4 linked regions of the Caenorhabditis elegans genome follow. The protein of the gene in region 3 interacts with the protein of the main gene of each other region in a pairwise test. Each region holds a gene or a part of one and is shown on either strand. Other genes may lie near its edges.

Evidence for each region.
Region 1: the proteins of F43B10.1 (region 3) and C11E4.6 interact in a two-hybrid assay, tested with the Caenorhabditis elegans proteins (one large-scale study listed by BioGRID).
Region 2: the proteins of F43B10.1 (region 3) and F49F1.9 interact in a two-hybrid assay, tested with the Caenorhabditis elegans proteins (one large-scale study listed by BioGRID).
Region 4: the proteins of F43B10.1 (region 3) and nhr-23 interact in a two-hybrid assay, tested with the Caenorhabditis elegans proteins (one large-scale study listed by BioGRID).

What each region holds. Positions count from the first base shown.
Region 1 is NC_003284.9:9,608,772-9,616,599, reverse strand, and holds the start of C11E4.6 (ANK_REP_REGION domain-containing protein), read right to left. Parts: upstream 6,038-7,828; 5' UTR 6,025-6,037; coding exon 5,900-6,024; intron 5,853-5,899; coding exon 5,513-5,852; intron 5,323-5,512; coding exon 5,092-5,322; intron 4,577-5,091; coding exon 4,228-4,576; intron 4,113-4,227; coding exon 3,798-4,112; intron 3,750-3,797; coding exon 3,438-3,749; intron 3,390-3,437; coding exon 3,261-3,389; intron 3,023-3,260; coding exon 2,502-3,022; intron 2,080-2,501; coding exon 1,909-2,079; intron 1,839-1,908; coding exon 1,616-1,838; intron 1,511-1,615; coding exon 1,380-1,510; intron 1,256-1,379; coding exon 1,110-1,255; intron 1,055-1,109; coding exon 811-1,054; intron 327-810; coding exon 192-326; intron 149-191; coding exon 8-148; 3' UTR 1-7.
Region 2 is NC_003282.8:4,136,301-4,139,109, reverse strand, and holds F49F1.9 (Galectin), read left to right. Parts: upstream 1-1,537; 5' UTR 1,538-1,542; coding exon 1,543-1,932; intron 1,933-2,019; coding exon 2,020-2,262; 3' UTR 2,263-2,293; downstream 2,294-2,809. Other genes in the region: F49F1.10 (Galectin), read left to right, coding at 1-368, 436-702.
Region 3 is NC_003284.9:16,651,470-16,656,316, forward strand, and holds the start of F43B10.1 (EF-hand domain-containing protein), read right to left. Parts: upstream 3,043-4,847; 5' UTR 3,015-3,042; coding exon 651-3,014; intron 1-650.
Region 4 is NC_003279.8:7,214,936-7,221,737, forward strand, and holds nhr-23 (Nuclear hormone receptor family member nhr-23), read left to right. Parts: upstream 1-1,848; 5' UTR 1,849-2,026; coding exon 2,027-2,094; intron 2,095-3,850; coding exon 3,851-4,242; intron 4,243-4,382; coding exon 4,383-4,474; intron 4,475-4,520; coding exon 4,521-4,594; intron 4,595-4,640; coding exon 4,641-4,761; intron 4,762-4,827; coding exon of another isoform or gene 4,828-4,833; coding exon 4,834-4,925; intron 4,926-4,969; coding exon 4,970-5,525; intron 5,526-5,571; coding exon 5,572-5,853; intron 5,854-5,927; coding exon 5,928-6,017; 3' UTR 6,018-6,293; downstream 6,294-6,802. UniProt on the Caenorhabditis elegans protein: Orphan nuclear receptor. Transcription factor. Modulates expression of target genes, such as Period protein homolog lin-42 and microRNA let-7, by binding to hormone response elements (HRE).

The sequences.
Region 1 (7,828 bases), 7.0 Mb from region 3:
GCTGGATTTAATTTCTTTGGTTCTCAGTAGTTTGCTGACTGTTATGCCGGCATCGTACCATTGTTCCTTCGATTGGCAGAGACTTGTCCATTCTGCTTCTGAGCTCAAACATCATTCCGATTGTGGTGATGATTTCTGCGGCAATTCCCTAGAAATATGAACTTTTCTAAGGCATTATTTGTGCGAAATACCGAGGTCAGCACACAGAAAGTGTGACAAAAGAAACGATTTTCAGTGTCCCTTGCAACAAAGCAGAAGAAGTTGAGATCCTTTCTATCCTGACATACGACTCTTATTGTATAGACACCATAGCCGTCAAGTAGAGTCTAAAAAATCATTGAGATTAATCGGGGGGCAAGTTTGTCAACGCTTCGGATTTTCTAATCAAATTAATATTGCGGGTGGTCTTTTGTGGCCTACAGCTGATATCCGATTGCGGCGAATTTCCTAGACTAGTCAAAAAACGTCTCAACCTCTAACGTCTGCTGAGAAAATACAATTGATAAAATTGATAAACACAAACAAAATATGAATTCTCGGTTCGAGAAATATGATGTTCTATTTCTAAAATCCAATTTCCGAAATACCATACGATTAAAATATCTTTGTGTTTTTTTCACATCGTATAAGTATATTTCATAAGTAATCAGATTTTATGAAATACTTTCACGTCATAACTTTCCTGCAACGAATGCAGGTGTATCAGTCGTTAAATTATTGTTTCCCGACCCCCTTATTCTTTAACCGCTTCTCAGTTCTGCTGAACTTTTACAATTTGTCAATTCCATTAGGTGATAATTTAATCATTACCTTAAAAGTTTCATCGAAGATAGTGATTCCATTGCAAGTCAAATCCAAAGTAACCCGTGGAATAGTCTCCCAGTCAATTATCGACTCTTTGATTCTTGTCATAGCTGCATGAGCTTCATCAGAGCATTCGGTTTCTCCAATTTCCAGAACACCGAGGTGGTGTGCACGATACACCACGTTGCCCTGCAGCAACTTGTTCTTGATCTTGTCAAAATCGCCTTGTGGGCATTCAGCACAGTTGTTTCTGAAACTTGTTGAATGTTTGTTCTTTTGAAAATTATTTCTCATTAAAAACTTACTGTTTTGACCTTGGCGGCAGAGGAGGAGGTGACATTAATGGCTTAATCTGTAGTCGATTATTGTACTCTTTTCTTTTTTCGTCTTCTGCTTTTTTGAACGAATGGAGCATTCTAGCAATGTGACCAGGACGAGTAACACCGAGTTGCTGAAATTAAAAATATGCAACAATTATCACAGGTCTATGGATATTTTTTGATTAATAAACGCGAAATCAGTGATAAAAAGTATCTTAAAATCACAAAAGTTGTTATTTGAACAAATTTACTCACCATCAATCTTGCCGTGTCCCAGTCAATTTCTGTCAATTTTGCCATATGCTTGTATCCTGCACCGACAAAGTTGGAAATGTAATCTTGAAGTCCGATGAAGTTGAGCCATTCACTAACATAGAAGAAACGTCCTGGAATTGAAAAGTGATTTGAAAAATTGATGAAGGTTTCTTAAAATGTTCCGGCAGAGTAAATGTGTTTTATGAATGTGTTTTATGTTTCAAAAAAAAACCAACCAGCACTAGCAACATCATCCTTCAATTTCTCAATCTCTGACATTATCTTGAACTTGGTGACGTCATCTACTCCGATTTCCGTAAGGATACTTCTATTTATTATCCCTTTTAGTTGATCCATTCTATCATATCCATGAGTTTGAAGAAGTGCTCCAACTGAATCAGCCGCTACTGGGGCTAACATAACATCACTTTCCAACCACTCAATTATTGTTTTTGGTTGCTGAAACATGAACAACCGGTGTAAAACGTGACATGAATGGAAGTTGAAACAAAAATGTAACTAAAAGTACCTTTTTTACAAGAAGCGACTTGTGATCTCTGAACTCATCCTCGACAAGTGTTACGCTCAACGCTTTCGACCCACGATCACGTAAGTAAACTGCCACACGTGGCTCGTATTCACGAACAAAAACACTTTCACGACATGGAGCTGCACCAAACGAATCGAATACACTTTCCACCTGTTATACAAAAAATTAACAAAGTTTCACTGACACTTTTTTCAAATTTGAAATTATAGAATTGACATTTAAATCGTTTTTTGTTGTTTAATGCTGATAATCCAAAAACGCACAAACGTTTAGGCGCTGCCGTTATTTTTTACTGCGTTTTATTCCCGCTACCCAGCTTTGCAAATACACAAAAAAGACTGACCTATTACAGTTTTTCTGGCTCTGTATTTCAAATACACCGTAAGAATTAAGCCCGCACAGCGAGTGCAGGTTTTTATCATTAAAAAAAACTTCTGATCTGTTTTTCTTTACATTAACAATAGCTGACTATTGAGAAACTGTTGAGAAACATAAAATCCGTGTGCTTTTTGCAGATACGCCATTGTTACGAAAAAATAAACAAAAATTGGTTTGTCCCCTGATCGACTTACCCTATCCCAACTAGGTTCTTCACTGGTCGTGTCTGATTTCTGGTCTGATGAGGGGGACGACAAATTATCTGTGGGTGAAAGTGAATTCAGCATAAGGTTCGTTGTTCCATTTTGACGGCGGATTCGGACAGGCTCTTCCGGCTCAGTGAAACTGCTATTCATCTGCACCTTCGACGTTGATTCAGTGCTTCTGTGGCTCAAATTTGACGATGACGAGAATCCAGAGAAGAAATCAACATTTGTAGAGTCAACCAGCCGAGATTTTCCACATAACGCGTCAAAGATGAATGCTTTAGAGGTGTTTGGGGAAGGTGGGCTCTCGGCAGAGTTTGATGATGGTCTCATCACGTCTTCTAAAAAAATTGCAGTCACATTGTTGTCTTTCTCATAATTCCCATTTAGATGTTGATTCGCATTTCCTTGGCTGTAAATGACACTGCCTGTCACTGAACCTGTTATTTCTTCTGGCATTGCCAATGGTGCACGGCCGTTATCACGTTCGCGTTCCCGGAAGAACTTATCTGAAATTGCATTTATTTAGATTGACTTCAGGACTCCATAAGTTTAGGAAATGATTTTTTCCTTGTCATTGACCAAAGTTTTTTTTCAGAGTTAACAAGATACCGAGCATGAGATCAGTGTTGGAAGATTCGTTTTCTCATAATCTACCCGAACTTATCAACTCGTACATCATATGCTAGAAATTTTTTAGGTTGTCGTATGCCCCTAAATCATTCCATTTTTGCTTAAAATGCCTACCTTTGTCAAGTGTCGAGCACGCGTATGTCAAGGATGATGTTATGCTGCTTGCTCTGGTGTCCAGTCTTGGACTTTGCGTCAATCCCAGCGATTCTTCACGATCACACGTAGTTCGGGAAATAGAAAACTCTTAAAAGTCTTTATTTTATATTAATTAGAGTCGTTTCCTATACTTACGGTTCCGATTCAATGACCTATCCATTGTTTTGTCTGGGTCTTGAATAAAGGCGTCATTCAGGTCAGGACGACCATGATCTGGAATTCTTGGAGAGTAGGTGGCAAGTTTTGGAAGTGTTGCGTATCCGGATTGTCTACGGAGTGATGCAGATCTTGCTATTGGTGAGTTGGGGCGGACGAATATTGCAGAGTTGTTCGGAACGTTGTCATATGGTGCTGGCGGACGATTGCTAATGGTCAGTTGACTCTTTTGCCATTCATTGAATTTTGAAGGAGAGTTGTATGCACAATTATCTCCCGGGAGTACAGAAGCTGAAAATAAAGTCAATCCGTAAACTCAGAATATCGATAATAGATTACCTATTTGCTTTTCTGTTGGCCTCGTTCTAACATTTTTCAGCCTCGTTGGCAATGTATCGCTGGATCTTTGACACGAATAATGCTTTGAGTGATAACTAGGCGATGTCAACGGGAACCTTCCAGTTCTTGGAGCTCTGTCTAACATGGAACTGTTCCATGTACGATTGATAGAGTGTGTGGTGTAAGGCCCCTCTGATCGAACACTGTTCAAAGCTTCTGTAGAGTCGTCGGGGGATAAATCTCGCAGTCTTGCAGAAATAGAAGGTGGCTGGTAGATGGAATGATTGTTTCTTCGTTGATCCGGGTATACTTGAACTGAAATCGTGAATAACTTTATTTATCATTCAGATTTTGAACTTTGAGCTTAACTCGATTGATAACCGAAATGTTCCTTACAATGCACATATTATTAGTTTTAAAAATAACCCACCGCTTGCTTGACTTGGAAGTGGTTGCCAAATTGCTTCTCTTTCATTGTCACTTTGACTTCCTTCGGTTTCTCTTCCAGAGTCTCTTCTATCCATTCCTTCGATAATTGTTCTACATTCCTTCCATCCTTCCGGATTTTTTACAAAATGGGCGATTTCATTCCTTCGGTTCTCCTGGAGATCGATGATCATTTGGAGCACTGTTTGTCCGTGTTGATTTTTGATATCAGTGTTCACGCCAATTTCCAGCAGAAACCTGACTGCCTCGGCCTGTCCACAAGCAGAAGCCACATGTAGAGCTGTCCCATCTTCCGTAGTGTAGTTAATGGAGAAACCATGTTCACGAAGAGCCTGAAATTAAACATTTAGTACATTTTTCATTTAAGTGAAACAGTAAATTATTTGATTGGGTTTGTTTAACTAAAAAAATCTACAGAACATATGAGTCTTATAAACCTATGATTAAACTACAAAAATACAAATAATAAATAGTAGTGTTTCAAAATATTTACTACAGAAAATATAGTTTTTTTTGTTGGAAAACCGCAAACACCGTGACGCATAAGTGCACAGTCAAAAAAATATCTGTTGAGTGTTTATATTTCAAACTAAACGTTTTTTGGGATGAGTTATGAAAATGAAATCATAAGCATGTTACTATCGAATCTATTTCGAATTTCAAATTTGTAAACATTGTACAAACTTGCAGATTCATATGAAACACGCCTATCAGAAAATTAACCCCGTTTTTTTGCTATTCTCAAATTGCTACCAACATTCACGCAAGGAGTAAACTATTCTGCATCACCCTTACTCTTATACTCAATTCTTGAATAATGAATAGCAAAGTGGAAAAAGCAACTCACTTGCATGCACTCAACGTGATTATACTTTGCTGCAAGGTGAAATGGGTATATGGCCGGAAAGGGCCGTTTTATGTCCGGTGTTCCAACTCGAAGAGACTCATATGCTGACTGCACAGGAAACTTTGGCCATTTTTGGCACAACATTCTGATGGCTTCAGCAGATCCAATGCGTGATGCAACGTCAATCACATTTTCCTTGTTTTCATTACGAATGAAGGGGTCGGCATTTTTCTGAAATTTAAGGAAATTGAAACGATACGTGATTTTTCAAGCTAACAATTGTTAAATCTGTCAACAATTTAATCTCTATACAAGAATCAAACGTCAAACGCATTGCAAAATTGAATAACTTATTATAGATATGAATGTTGTTCCTGTTCACAGTCGAATAGTTTTAATTCTCAAAGTTATCTTTGCTTACCTTTATCAAATAGAACACAACTTCAAGATGACATCTCTGAACTGCAAGATGAAGTGGAGTTTCATTGAAAATGTTCACTGCATTCAGAATATCTGCGGGCTTTTCCATTGTTTGTAAAAGAAGCATTTTCACAATCTCCAAGTTCCCATTCCAGGCGGCCAAGTGAATTGGTAAAATATTTTTTGTACTTTTACACAGTAAAAGAAGTGGTTCGTAGTCCATAAGGAGTTTACTGATTTGATTTTGATTCTCGAGAACCGCATGATGGAGTAAGGTGAAGTCAGATTTTTCATCTTTGTAGTCGGCGAGCCAATGACTGTCTGATCGCGTTGTGAAAAATCTGAAAAATATCAATAGTTTATTTGAAAATTAGAAAATAAGTATTACTTCAGCCCGCTTCGAATCTTTTTGCCCTTTTTCGAGCTGAGAAACAACGCAACTTTATCATATTCTCCTTTTTTACAAGCATCGATTACTTCGGTTTTTGATATGACAAAGTCTTTGAGGCTCATTTCATCTGAGCTCCTGTAAAATGATCGATTCAGAATTTAATTTAGGACAAAAGAGAAAGCAGATGTTCATGTCAAAAAACAAAAAGAAAAGTAGGAAACAAAAAAGACGGATAGAATATAGGAGAAAGAACAGATTTTGTGAACACATATAGTTTTTTGTCTTAATCTTGTTTACTTTCTCTTTTTGAGATGTAGTTGTATTTTGCTACTCAAGGGGTCCACAAGAAGTAGTAATGCATAAAAAGATAGGAAATGCGAAATATGTAGAAAAAGGGAGTGTTGTAGATGAAAAGCAAGGGGGTCCCCGGGTTTCCTCCCGCGCGAAGAATGCCTCGTAATGTATTGCATTTTACTCGCTTTTCACCAAAATCTCGACAAGAGTGGTGAAAGCAGGGTGATGGGAATAGGAAGGGCGCAATGTGGATGGCCGGTCACTCACAACTCCACAAAACTACACATTCTTTTCTCCTCTTCTTCTTTGCAATTTTTGTCGGTCTAGGAGTGCATTGGATGCAACAACAACAACAAAGAATATAACTACAGCTAATACTACTAATGGTCAATGTAGGAAAAAAAAGTTTAATAGTAGCTTATGGAAAATTGAGTTCGAGTTGTAGTCATCAAGGATATTCTTAGGTGAAAAATTATAGTGAAGATTTTCCTCATATTATCAGCTCTTTGCGAGTTTACATCTAAAATGTACCACTAGAACAAGATACCTTTTATAAACTGCAATGGCTCTCACGAAAAGTTGTCGGATATGTTCTTAAAAAATGATAATTATAGTTTTAACGAATTTCGTGTCAATTCTTCAACAAAAAAACATAGCGTCCAACAATTTAACTGAATTACAAAAAATAAAAATAAAACATGATGGTGACAAAACACTTTTCCAAATTTGCCAGCTGAATTAATATGAATTCCATTTAGAAAATTATTACTTAATAGCTATAGTCAATATGGCAACATTTTTCAAGGTGATTTTAACCGATTTTTCCTAATTTAAATAATTCAGCTGTTTTACATGTTAGAATCCTTAACTTCGCTGAATAAACTTTATATTCATATGTACTATGATCAGTGATGGGTGCACATTACATTTAACTTCTGACTAAGAAAAAATTTTTTGAACAAAAACCAACTCTATGCATCTGAGAAGGTTCTCCTCGAATAATCAGATAAATTCAATTAGAACTAGTGAGCACATGCGGAGGAGGCTGTGCACTTTTCAAAATAGCCTCAAACAACAAAAACATAATAGCACAGGATACACGGTCGATGCTTAAATTGAAGTTAATAATCGTTGACTTAAACATATACGACAAAAAAGATAATGACATGCTGCAAATCGAGAGGAAAAGAAAAAGAGATAAAAGCACTTATGAAGTGCAGTAAAGGGAAGATAAAGGGTGGAAATTGAGAGGAGAAGGTGGAAGGAAGGAAGAATGATAAACCCGTGCTGTTAAGTTGTAATAAGTGTTTCCAACGTGTTGCATATGTAGGTGAATAATAAACACATATCACTTCAAACATCTAAAATTGCGTTGAGGATTTAGTTTCCAATGTGATTTAAAAAAAAAATTGATTATTTCTGCTCACTTTCTACAGAAAAATTGTCCTTATGTTAATCAAAATAAAAATTAGACAAGTAAAAATTGAAAACCACAAATGTATGAAAAATGTTATCAAAAAAACTATAGTGAGGCGGTTCAGATATGCGATTTCGTAGTTTTCCAAATATTTTATATTAAATCCCCAAGTTCGAAGTTTTAAAAACTGAGATTTTTCAAAAAACTTTTGGAAC
Region 2 (2,809 bases), on a different chromosome or scaffold from region 3:
ATGTTCTTCTGCTATTCACCTTTTTGGTAGTGGTTTCTGGAATTTTATTTGACAACGGTGGAAGATCCCATGGCTTTGGATCCTCCTCTGATTCCTCCGATGATTACAGTGGCCGACGTGGTGGTGGGCGGCATAGGCCTCCAAGACCTCCACGGCCTTCAAAACCTGTAACAACACCTAAGCCACGAGACGACTGGATAACGATCAATGGGCCGTTTACAACCACTCTACCAATTCCTGGAGGATATTGGGATACTGGGAAGATCATGCGTATTTATGGTATACCTGGAAGTGGAAGATGGACCATCAACCTGGCAAAATCAAAAGTTTGGGTGTTTCACTTTGCGGTAGAGCCTAGCAAGGGACTTGTGAGTTTTGCTTTTGTAGGCTAGACGCCTCTCAGGCTTCGGCCCCTCTTCATCAATAGTTTTTTAGGTAGCCAGAACCCGACATTTGAATGGAAAGTGGCAAGTCGGTGAAACATATGGTGGAAACCCATTTCGAGCTAATGCCGCCTTTAATGTTACTATGGTCAATCAGCCAACGCATATCGAGATTCATGTCAATGGTGCATTCTTTGTAAATTTCAATCATCGAGTTTCCAATCCATCCAGAGACTATCTATCGATTTCCAATTCGTTTCTATCTCGAAAGTGGAGTTTTCACGATAACTTTAATAAAGAATTCTGTTGCATTTGGTAGAAATTTGAAATTATTTTTCAAGGTCTGATATGGAAGATGTCACATAACTTTGTTACGAAAAAAGTTACAGCAGCTCCGACGGGACTGTATTTTGACTAAACTGGCTAAGTGACCCACGACTTTGGAACTAGGTGTTTTCACGAAACAAAGTTCAATAGGAAAATAATTTTTACAGATTCTTCTACATCTTGCAATTTATTGTTCTGTCACAAGTTTACTAGGAAACATTACACAGAATATGAAACATTCATAACCAAAGTCAGATTTGACAAAAGTTCTTATAATGTGAGCAATATTTTTTTGGATCAGACTCTGAGCCCCGTCGGATGTCAGCTGCTGAAATTTATTTCATAACAAAGTTAGGACATTATCAAGAGTGTGGTTATCGTATTTGACTTATAATTGTTTGAACAACTCAAGCAAATTACCGTGAAAGCAAAAGCGAATATACACTGTACGAGTGTAACTAGAACGACATAATACCCGACAAATATAATAAATGGGCTTATCCGAGTCGTAGCAATTTCTTGTATTGACGGTTATATCGAGGAACTATCAAATTCTATCAAATTCCACAAAAAAAAACATTATCACGAAATATAAACTTTAGCAGGTTTTTGATGAGTTTAATACGAAACTTTTGCATTCAAGTTGGAGAATTATACGGCAAAAAATAAAATGTTTTGTTCATTGATCTCTAGAATTCTACCCACAAAAATTGAAAATTGAACAGAGATGCATTAAAAATTGCCGCGCGCAATGAAAAATACGTGGTAGAGGTGCAAAAAGCGCTATAAAACATGCTTCCATCTCCGCCAAATCTTTAAAAGTTCCTTTCCAATGAGGCTTTTACATGTTCTTCTGCTATTCACATTTTTGGAAGTGCTTTTTGGATTTGTACTCGACACCGGTGGTGGATATTATGGCTCAGGATCCTACTCTGATTCCTCCGATGATTACAGTGGGCGACGTGGTGGTGGGCGGCATAGGCCTCCAAGACCCCCAAGGCCCCCAAGGCCACCCAGGCCAACACCTAAGCCAGTAGAAAACATGGAAACTCTTCATGGGCCATTTGGGCCCGGTGTGCGTTATCCGATTCCTGGAGGATATTGGGCTACAGGCAAGGTCCTCCGATTTTATGGTGTTCCTGGACGAGGTAGATGGTCGATTAACCTGGACCGAGAAAAGGAGTGGCTGTTTCATTTCGCGTCACAGCCTGATTTAAGACGTGTGAGTTTAGACCCTCATGTTTAGGCCATGTTGCTTAAAAAACAGTCCTTGCATCCTATGTATATCTCATTTTTCGTTATTTTACAGGTTGTCAGAACCCGTCATTTGAATGGAAAGTTCCTCCTCGGTGACACATATGGTGGAAACCCATTTCCAGCTGGTGCTAATTTCAATGTGACTATGATCAATCAGCCAACGCATATTGAGATTTATGTCAATCAGGTTTTCTTCACAAACTACAATCATCGAACTCCCAATCCATCGAGAAACTATCAATACGTCGTTTTCTCCGGAAATGTCATTATCTCGAAAATTGAAGTTACTAGATAATTTGTTTAACTGAATGAAAGATTTGTTGCCAGTTTGTTGAAACATTTGCAGTTTTGTACAGTGCGTTTGGTGGTTTTTCAAAAATGTTCAAATGAGTATAACTCTGAAACTAAAGCTTTCTGCAAGAAAAGCTCATTTAACAAACTGTTGCTCATAATTTTTTCCACGCGACAAAACATGTTTTAAAATTTCATATCAATGACATCAATAAATACAGTGCCCGACATCTCGCGAGTCCAATTTTGACGATTTTTCTTTAATTTTTCCAAAAAACGCATATTTATTTGGCCGACGCTATAGCTCAGAATACGGCCTTCCACGAAGGCGAGGCAAGGAGAAGGTACACCACGCCCGCACTAACACACTCTGTGAACTGCGGCCGACGCTACGCGGGACCTCGCGCCACTATAGCTGTGTACAACAGAGAAGGGCGGTGCTGTTTGGCGAGAGTAGCGCCCTTGTGGAAGGCCTACGCGGGCACGTGGCGTCTGATCTACGTAGATCTACATTAACCGCGGGTGAAGAGAGGCAGAGTTCTTAGCTGATT
Region 3 (4,847 bases):
GAAAATCAATCAAAAATCGTACTTTTCAACTACTCTATTTCGAATTTTATTAAAATTCTGGAATTCCATGACAAACAAGGCAAAGTTGAAACAATAAAATTCAGCGAAAATTGACACTTGTGTTTACACTGAATTCTTGAGAATGGACGTCATAGAAATGTGTATTCGTTTCCGAAAATGTCCAAAAACAAAGCAGAAAATTGTTGTGAAATTATTTAACAAATAATTTGAAAGTTACAATTTTAATGAAAAAAAAATTTCATTGAAATGATCACCTAAACTAAACAGAGATAAGGGAAAAACTACATTTGGAGTTATAAAAACATGTTATTTTATACTTTGGAAAGGTGCAATTCTCAGGATTGACGTAAGTATTTTTTGGTGTCTGAGAAAAAAAAACCAACTAATAGAAACAGCAATCAAAAATCGTCTCAAAATAGAGCACACGTTCTAAAAACTGTCATTTCTCTCGAAAACAAGATCCAGAATACTTTTTCATCTCCGAACACAAGCCCCGATAGTTTTTCGCGGTTGTTTGCACTATTCCCACATGATTGAAAGTACACTAACAAGATTTTGCCAAGCAAAACCCCACAGTCTCATAAGAAATTGAAGATCAGGATTTAAAAAAAGAACTAAAAAATACTCACGTTTGATTTGAAGTCGAAAATCGAATGGGTCGCAATGTCGTGTTGTTTAATTGGCTGCTGCTGATACTGTGGACGGTAGTGATTATGTTGCTCTTTCCCAAGGTAGGACTGGTGGTTTTGATGATTTTGCAGTGGTTGATGATTCTGATTCTGAACCGAATGCACTTGAATATGACGGATTGGCGGTGTCGGCGACGAGTGCTGATATGTGCTGCCCATGTCCACGTGAATGACTGGTTTGGCACGAAACACCGCGCTCCGTGGACTCATATTGCCATTGGTTTGCGGTACAGCTTTAGCGGTCGCCGCAACTGGTACATGCTCGTTGTATTTGACGGTTGTGGTCGAGAGTTGCACAACGGGAGTGCCTGGTCGTTTTTCGAATTCTGTGATCCGAGAGGCAACACTTCCGGTCGAGGGCACCGGGAAGTTCGGTCCGTTTCGATACATGGTTCGCGAAATTTGATAGCCAGGAGTATGAATTCCAGCTAAATGAAGTTGTTCTTTCACATTATGCTTCGGTTTTGGATGCGGAAGTCCTGTTGGAATCTGATACACTGAAGAGCTCTCGCTGACCTCATCTGTTGGGGATGGAGAGTGCAGCTTCCGGTGAAGTGACAAAGCAGGAGACTTAGACACCTCAATTGGTGGGGGACTAAAAGCGTGTTCACCTGTTGGAAATCTACCGCAACCTCCAACTCGTCGGTTTAGAGAATCATTGTGAACAACAGGTGCAGGTGACACGGATCCAAATGTTGTTCCGCCAAATGTATTTCCACGAACAGTTCTTGAGAGTTCATTTACAGCATTATCCAGTTCATTGAAACTTGGAATTAGGAAAGAATTTGACGGAAAAGCTGGATTCAATGGAGTTCTCGGCTTCTCGGTGTATTCGACGGATGGTTCTCTCATCAGCTCAGCTTTTCTTGCAGCAACTCCTTGACCACTGCCAACTCTCTGAGTAAACCTTTTTTCAGTGTCGATTGGTTCTTGTAACATTTGAAGTCGTTCTGCTGCTGTTAAACTTGTTGGAATTCTCTGAATTGTTGGCGAAGAAGGTCTCGAGCTGATGGTTTGACTCCAGAAATTATCCAATGCTCCGGATTTTCTTTGTTCTGGAGCTTCAGCTGCTCTTCGTTCAACCGCTCTTCCAAGAAGCGAACTATTCATTTCATAGTTACTTGAAGACTTTGAAATTGGCAGCTGTGCTCCACGTCGTGGCAAAGTCATTGACCCAGTGGTCGTAAAAGCGGATGGACTCAACAAGTCATCGCTTTCCAAATTTTGAAACCGATTCTGCAACTGTTCAAACGATTTGCTCCATTCTGATGTGCTTCGACTCATGTTGTCATCAAGGAGACGTTGAGCAATAATATCCAACTGATCCGTGTCGTGAAACACGGGTTGACGAAAACCTCCGGACGACGCACTTGAGGCGAGTGCGGGTACTCCGTTGTTGTAAAATTGATGAGATGAAGAGGAAGATGGCGGCGGCGGCGGCGGTGGATGACGATGAAACTCAGATCGATTTTCGAACGGGTGCGCCTGTTGCTGCTGCTGTTGCAATGACGACTCTCGTGGAAGTGGCAGAGGAGGACCACCAAGCGAACTTGAGTGCTGATATTGATGCGGGGTAGAGTTGTGGTATTCGCGATGAAAAGTAGAAGTTACCGGACCGTTCGAGGTGAAGGTTGTTTGCACTCTTTGTTGAGACGGATATCCGTTTCCGTTTGGAACCACGTTTTGATAAACCGAAGTTGTCGATCGAACACCGTTTGGGACTTCTTGGCGAATTGAATACTCAATTAGTGGAAAGTTAGATTCGGACGATTGATAGGTATACGATCGTGTCGGTGGAGCCCGATCCGTGTGAATTCTGTCGATATAGGCTTGCACGGCTGGTGAGTTTTGCACAGAGTGCTGTGCAGACGGGTAACGAGAGAGTAAGTCGAGAAGTGCAGAGCCACTGGCTGGCGATCTTTCGCGAAGGTGTTCCGAGAAGGAAGAGGGTACTGACAGGTTATGTGACGAGTGGTACTCTGAATGTGACGACCAGGGCGTGGTTGAAGCTGGTCTTCGTTGTTGGGACGGAAAGTTCACTTCAGCAGTACGAAGTGGTCCTTGATTCCACGGCTCTGGAATGTGATCCTCCGAGATTGTTCTCGGCTGATGTTGAAACGCTGATCTTCGATTATCGGCCGACTGCGACCGGAAACGAGTAGTTTGGGGGTCGTTTTCAGCACCAAACGTGGTTGTAGTGGCCAAACCACTGCCTCCGTACCGTAACGATTCCGATGGAAACTGCACTGACGAGGACGACGGCTGGTTGAATCTTGCGAAGTAGTCGTCGTCAAGATGGTACATTTACCCTTTGCTCTCGCAAGTACTGAAAGATGTCCGAAATTGGAAGAGAGATTAAAAGAATGGCGGGGGAAGAACAAAGAAACGAGATATTTTGCAGGACAACTGTTGAGTAGGTGGCAGCAAGTTGGAGCAAAAATGCACAAAAACATGGAAAAACGCAACAAATCAAACAAACTTGAGAGGCAGAGTGAGAGGTAACAAAGGAAAAAAGATAGGATCATAATCAAATTTAATAGAGGAAGGAGGATTGATTCATAATGAGAGGAAAAATACTACTTAAAAAATTTTTTATTTGCATTGCATTTTTTATTTATAAAATGAACTTGAACCCACTGGTAACTTAAAATAGAATTATATAATAGATCAGTATCTAGCAGGTAGCAATTAGTGGGAAAACATAGATTGAAATGAAAGTGCGAAAAAGAAGAAGAATAGGAGTGGCCTGAACCAGCAGAAACTGCAGATTGAAGTGATTAGTAATAGTAACAACTTTTCCTTTAGGAGGAGCGACATATTTTGTAAGAAGATTTGGAAAAGAAGATGTGATGAAAGAATGAACGATAGATGGTGATGATGATGAGAATTCTGAACATTAATTCTACGAAAAAGGTTGAAAGAGCTCTTAGAGCGGAGTTTTTAAGCTAAAAAACCAAAACCACTATTCAAAAATCTAGATCCTAAAAAACTAGAAAAGCGGATACGAAAAAAAGTGGGAGGATAAAAGATGAAACGATGATCAAGCGAAAAAAGACAGGTAGTAGTGAGCGAGTGCAACCAGAACGTCGGCGGTAAAAAAGAAAAAGAGACGAAGCAGCAAGAAGAGAAAATGAAAAAGCAGAAAAAGAAGAAGAAGAAGAAGCTGAATGGTCTAGAAGCCAATAAATTGCGAGCCCCTCGAGAAGACTTTCGAGGCGAAAGCGGCGACGAGCCGATAGAACACTGGTATTGTTACAGCGGGTAGACGGGGCTCCCGGCGAGAGCGAGGGAGAGAAAGAGATGGAGTATATATTTTCTCGAGGAGAGACGGAATACGTTTTTGCTTTCATTTCAGAGGTCCGTCCTTCTACACTTCGACGACCCCCGACAGCTGTCGCTAGATCGCCTGCTCTTTTTCTCTCACTCTCTCGATGTATCATTATCGGGCACTCGTCAAGTGCAATCCGTGGTCACCTAATCATCATTCCTTTTACGTTTCACTATTTTTATATTGAACGGGAGAAATATTAAAAGCGAAGTTTAGGAATGGAAGATGACGGCGGCTGAAAAATGACTGAAAAAAGGAATTGATCCTATGGAGTTCCAAAGCAAGTTTCATTTTGTTCAGTAAAAAACTTTCTGGAGGACATAGTTTATGAGACTGAGTTATCCTGGAAACAATGCAACAATCTAAAGAATAAAAGCAATCATAATCAAGAGCGAATATATTTACAAAATTTGGTACTTGTGCATTAAAACCCCGCATTTTTAAAATTAATTAAACTTCCATTTATCTTCCGATTCTGATAAAACGTGATGTTCATTTTCCCTGTTTAGGCTTAGAAATGATTAAATGTTTATAAGCCGAAAAATACAAAAACTCGACACGTTTTTATTTAAAAATTCATTTTTAATATGAGGGATTAGAATACAAGTACCTAAAATCTTATTTCAAATTTTTGCAAATTTTTGTCATTTTTTTTCAAAATTTCAGTGGAATTCTTCTTAAAAACAAATCTAGCTGAAAAAAAATTTGAAAAAATTCGATATCATTTTGTTAGGAGTTCATAGGATACATTTTCCAAATATCTAAATATTTATTAGAGAAGCAAGTATGATTTTTTGGCAGCACTCAAC
Region 4 (6,802 bases), on a different chromosome or scaffold from region 3:
CCGGCCGGGTCACTTGCGTTCGGACGACGACATGCGAGGTAGGTCATCTCACGTCTTCTTCATCTTCTTCTTCTCTCGAAGATGTTGGTGGAAGGAGAGAGAAAGAGATGCAAAAAAACGGGGAAGGGCATGGCCCGGCGACCGGACCCGCTAACCCGGTCACCCCGTTTTCGGCCATGGCTAACCCAAAAAAGATTCATTTTTGCCGATAGGACAACAATTAATTCAGTAGTTCGTTTCAAGATCCATGATCCAGGTTCTAGGTTCCAGATTCCAATTGAAAGGTTTCAAAATGTGTTTGTGTTGTCTAACCAATGTTTACCATCTATGTTATGCACGTTCCACTGTTATCAAGTCTATCAAATTGATCAAAAATGCCTATATTTCACGGTCACTCTGCCATTGCCCCATAGTTGGACGAGATAGAGACCACCACCTTCCTCTACCGTAATACTCTTCAAAATGCCCTTTTGAAAAGATGAATTGTGAAGGAGGGAACAGCCCAAAATTGAAGAAAGAATCGACATTTCAACACTTTGAAATGATGTCGTAGTTCGTTTTTGGCTTCTTTGTGTGGATTTTGATTATGTTTCAGTTTTACAGTATCTTATACGCTTATAATTGTTTTTTTTTGGACTTTAAATTATTTTTACCATCACCGTATTTTTCTTTTCTTTAGCGCAACTTAAACTTATTTGCTTTTCCTTTCTGGTATTATACTGAGTTATTTATTATGTGATTCCTATTTATACTGTAGTTTTATTTATAAACAATTCCCGGTTCCTCCTTTGACACTTGAAACTTCTAGTTTAAAAAGTCTCACAGTACTGAAATCCATTACTCTACTTTGTCAATTTATATCTGGACTAATTTTACAAATATCAAAACACAGTCAACTACGAAGCAATTTGTGAATTGATAACTTTTCGATGAAACAAAATGAGATATAAGCTAAAAAGGATATGAACAATGTGGCTCAATTATAGTACGGTATCTATTTTGCACCCAGTACCAAATAAATAGTCGTACCCAGTAAATGGAGCACAAAAACCATGCTTCAGATTTTCGTGCGCCCTTTTTCATTTATGAGAAGATTCGTTTTCCCATTTTCTGTCGGATTAATACTGATTTGAAAATTTCAATTTTATTACTGTGTCTATTTTGCAAAAGTTACACTTTTCAGTTATGGTATATTTTGATATTTGAATTGTACTATTATTTTGTTATAACTCAACATCTTGAAACTGTGCAGGATATTAAAAATACTTATCGAATGGTTTTTTTCTTATTTGTGGTCGTGTTCTGTTCTTTTCCGAAACCACATTCCCTCTTTTGTAGATTAAGATCAGTATCTCAAAAAGATCTCTGATTTTCTCTCCCTCTTTCTCGCTTTACTTCTAGATATTTACTTTCACTATTTATTTTATACATCTAAATTTATTATGTAAGGAGCACTAAAAATAATTTTCTCCCCCTTACTAAATTTTTCCTTATTGGTCATAACTTCAACTCAATACGGACAGTCTTTATGGCCCGCACGAGTCAGTACCAGTGCGGCAGTTATAATAAGTATTAATGGTATCTCATCTCCTCATCGAGTTATTATTCCCAATTAAGTTCGTCTCACATCTTGACCTTGAATTCAGTTTTCTTTATTCCCCTTTTTAAGTTTACACTTACTATTAAATTGCAAAAATCTTAAAGCACAGCTTTTTGGTTTTTTTTACTTGAAATTACATTCTAATTATCTCACACAATGTACTTTATCAGTGACTAATGAGAGTGGGGGTAAGGGACACCTTTTCCCGTCCAGCCGCGTGTCACCGAAAACCGGTATTCTCTACCATTAGGTGGTCACTGTCGGTACCAGGTGCATGTTCTCGCTTCGATGGTCTTCAATGCAACATTTCAATGGTCATTTCGAGAGTTTAGCCAAACAACATCAAAACCATTTTCACTCATTTCGAAAATCTTGAAAAAAGGTTTTTAAGAAGATCAGGGGTCAAGGCACATCAGAGCGCATGGCATGGCCTGTAAGGTCACTGGCCCAAATCGGCACCTCACTTCAGTTCTCGAAATGTCATCGTTCGTGTAGTGAGTTGTTTTTCTGTTTACGTGGCACCTCGGCGGGTGTCCTGAAATCTTTTGATCTAACTCTAGACATTTGAAGCAATCCGTAATGTTCTAGCATACTGTAGGGATGTTTCAATTCAAAATGGAAGTTTCGAAGACTATCTAAGATGGCTGAAAGTTTCTGAAATTTTGCACATATTTTTAACCAGATTTCGGGTGTTCTTCACCGTTTTTGCCATCAAATTCACTTTTCCCAGTTTTCCGCGGCGGTACCATCACGTACTTGCTGTGTATACGTCTCCGTCTCTCTTTTGTCGTTTCGCATGATCAGCGGAAAGTACAATTTACGAAATTGCAACCTCCCGTCGTCGTCGTCGCTGCCGCTGCCGCCACCACCATCATCGCAAACCACGTCGTCTATATCCTGCCTCACACAGCGCGACGACGTCGACGACGCGGGGTCCTGTCACCTCCTGGCGGGAGGCATACCGTACCGTTCGCGCGCAACACACCGTGCACAGGTACCGAGGTCACTTCTCGAGATGAAGAAATAGCGCGGAGACGTACACACAATTGTCTTCTTCATCTTCTTATTCCTACGTCTTCTTCATTTCCTACCTTGTTTCTCAGTATTCCCATATCCTCCATCGTCACCGTCTCTTCATTCTTTCAAAACACTGTAATTGTTATGAGAGGAGCGGTGAGATGGGGATAAAGTTGAGAATAGGCAGGAAATGAAGGATGAGCGGTATGATGAGGAAATATGAAATATGTTGCGAATATATAAGACCTGATAATTGTGGTCCTAGGAAACGAGGTTGAAAATCGAGCCGATATAATAAAAGAGTTGGGGACGACGAGATTTTTATCTGAATCAGAAATGAGTGATGCTATTCGAAGTGAGATTGATATAGATTTTATATTCTTGCCGTATACATTTTCTGATTAAAATTTATGCACAAAAACATAAAGAACTCCCGAAGCATATTTCTCTTGGCGGGTTTTCGTCAAATTTTTCATTTAAAAATACCAAAAAGCTGAGCCATTTTTTTTGCGTTTTAGGCGAGACATTAAAATTTCCAGTTTCACCAAATTTCTTTTGAAGAATTCCATTTGCAAAACAATGCAAAAACAAAATTTTTTTGTTTTTTTTCAAATATTTGAACTTCTGCGTTTTTAATATTTATAAATATTAAAAACGCAGAAGGTACGGTGTGCTAAGAGTGTTTGCGGACTTTAGTTCATTTTATGTCGCCTACCGTAGTCCGCCTCGCTGATATTCGTTTTTTTTTAAATTCATTTTTGACATAAATATTTTGTTTTCAACCATTTTTCTCAAATTTAAATTTAGAATTCGAAAAAAATCTTACTATTCTAATCTAAAATATGCAATGATTCAATTTTTAAGGCTAATTCCCCCCCCAAAAGCAAATAACAATGAAAAAAAATGTTCAGCAGGAATTTAAATATTTATTTTGCGTGAATTTTTTTCCTAACTATAAGCTAGTTATTATGTTTAGATTATATCTTATTGATAAAACCTAAATAATAATAATAAGTCACGTTAAGATCCACGGCTGGTTTTTGTTTCGAAATTTCAATTAATTTCAATTTATATCCTCCAGTAACTAATAGGTGAGTTTCTTAAGCTCTGCGATTGCATGGCATTTCGTAAAAAAAAAACGTTTCGCAAACTGTTTCTAGACGTTCAATCTTTCCGCGTATCCTATCATTACTCGCTTAAATTGTAGTCCGCCTTTCTTGATTTTATCTTCAGCTGGCCTCGATCGCGACAACAAGCTCACAATTTTCCGATGCAAGCTGTAGAGCAGAAGTTGGCTGATGCAACACGAACTCTTCATGCAAAGTCATCTCTTCAACCATCACTCTCAATTGAAACTCCAAAAAGCAAGGAAAATGATGAATCTGGATGCGAGAGTTCAAATTGCATGTTTCATCCGCATACGATCAAATCGGAACCAAATTTTTGTTTTGCTCGGGAGTTTAAGTCAGTTCCCGATGATTTTCGTATAGGCGGCGGAGATCTTCAAATGGGAAACAATTCCAAAAGATTGACATGTGTTATTGATACAAATCGAGTCGATATGGCCGGAATTCTTCCTGATAATATGAGCTTCCGGGGACTTCCCGAAAACAAATCTCTTCTGGGTATGCACGTATTTTTTGTTCATTGTCCTACTAACCTTTAAAACCCTTGAAATTTGGAATTTGGAACCGAACTCTGAAAAAAAACACTCCAAAATTGTGATAAACTGAACTTTTTAAAGATTCTAAATTTACTTTTTCAGTATCAGCGCAGATAGAAGTAATACCATGTAAAGTGTGCGGTGACAAGTCGTCTGGCGTTCACTATGGAGTTATCACATGTGAAGGCTGCAAGGTATGCCTTTTTACCAGAATTACTTTATTTCTTATACATTTTTCAGGGCTTTTTCCGACGCAGTCAATCATCCATCGTCAATTATCAGTGTCCGAGACAGAAGAATTGTGTTGTTGATAGGTATCTCAGTTAGGAATGTTACAGAAATTTAATATCGTATTTTCAGAGTGAATCGAAATCGATGCCAATACTGCCGTCTCAAAAAGTGTATTGAGTTAGGAATGTCACGGGATGCAGTTAAATTTGGACGAATGTCAAAAAAGCAACGAGAAAAAGTAGAAGATGAGGTATTTACATTCCCAATTCTAAACTTCGTATTCATGTCATCGTTTTTGTCTGTTCAATCCTTAAAGGTTCAGGTTCGAATGCATAAAGAATTAGCTGCAAATGGTCTTGGATACCAAGCAATTTACGGCGACTATTCCCCTCCACCATCCCATCCCAGTTATTGGTAATTATCACCTACATTTTTCTGTCATGCAACGTCATTTTCAGCTTTGATCAAAGTATGTACGGTCATTATCCATCTGGAACTTCAACACCTGTTAACGGATATTCTATAGCTGTTGCTGCGACTCCTACGACTCCAATGCCACAGAACATGTACGGAGCAACACCATCATCTACAAATGGCACACAATATGTTGCACATCAAGCCACTGGAGGAAGCTTCCCATCGCCACAAGTTCCAGAAGAAGACGTTGCCACTCGCGTTATCAGAGCTTTCAATCAGCAGCACAGTTCCTATACAACACAACATGGAGTTTGTAACGTGGATCCTGATTGTATTCCTCATTTGAGTCGAGCTGGTGGTTGGGAGCTCTTCGCTAGGGAGCTCAATCCGCTTATTCAAGCAATTATTGAGTTTGCCAAAAGTATTGATGGATTTATGAATCTTCCGCAAGAAACACAGATTCAATTGCTGAAGGGAAGCGTTTTTGAGTTATCACTCGTTTTTGCTGCTATGTATTACAATGTAGACGCGCAGGCAGTGTGCGGTGAAAGGTATTCTGTTCCATTTGCATGCTTGATTGCCGAAGATGATGCCGAGGTATTTATTTTCATAGAGTAATATCGGCTCATACTCAATGTTTCAGATGCAATTGATCGTTGAAGTTAATAACACTCTTCAAGAAATTGTTCATTTACAACCGCATCAATCCGAATTAGCTCTTCTTGCCGCTGGACTTATTCTGGAGCAAGTGTCTTCTTCTCATGGAATTGGGATTCTTGACACTGCGACGATTGCCACTGCAGAAACACTGAAGAACGCGTTGTACCAAAGTGTCATGCCAAGAATTGGATGCATGGAAGACACGATTCACCGAATTCAAGATGTTGAGACAAGAATCAGACAAACAGCTCGTTTGCATCAAGAGGTATTATTTGCTGAAGCTTGGATATAAATAATCTGGAATGCTTAATTTTGAGGTTATTATTTTTCTATTTACAGGCTCTTCAAAACTTCCGAATGTCTGATCCAACATCATCTGAAAAGCTTCCTGCCCTCTACAAAGAGCTATTCACTGCAGATCGGCCTTGACTGAATCCATATATCATCAATAGTTTTATCCATGCTCTCCTTCCCTATCCCCGTCCATGAATCTCGTTTCCTCCGGTTATTTGTACAATAAGAGTAGACCAAAGCGCCGTTTGAACCCAACGACACCATTTTCTTTCCTTCTGTGATTTCCTTTCCCGACATTCCCCCCAAAACCCCAGTCGTTTCCATGTTTTATCAGAAAATTAATAGAAAAATAATTGTAGTCGTCTGTTGCAGGAGAGTTCCTCATTCTTTCTCTCCTTTTCCTGTTTTTAAAGTGATTTACTCGGATCTTCTTTACTTACTTGTTCTAATTTATTAATGACTTTTGTCACCCCCCCCCCCCCCCTCGTGTACCATGTACAATCATGTTGCGTTCCATGTTTTCTTGCATTTCATGTTCAGTAAAATTTCTGAAACCATACCAATCTCTCTCTTGTCTTATCATTTCTCTTCAGGTATTGATGCCTCTCCCCATCCCATCCCATACTCTTTTCGTGATCAACACGGGTACAAAACCACAAATTTCCATTTATCTGGATTTCTAGGCGCACTAATTTTTATTTTATTAAATATCTCCCCATTTATTGCCTTTTAAAACTCGTATCATTCCAGTGTCTGCGCTTTAATTACGCCTTCTTACCCATTTGATCCAACCATTTTCTCGTTTATGGTGTAGTGGTCGCTTGAGTGTTTCCATTGTTTCATGTAACATCCTAAATATGTTTCATTGTCATCAATGCATTCAGCTCCATACACCGACTTTTTAATTTATTTCACTTTCC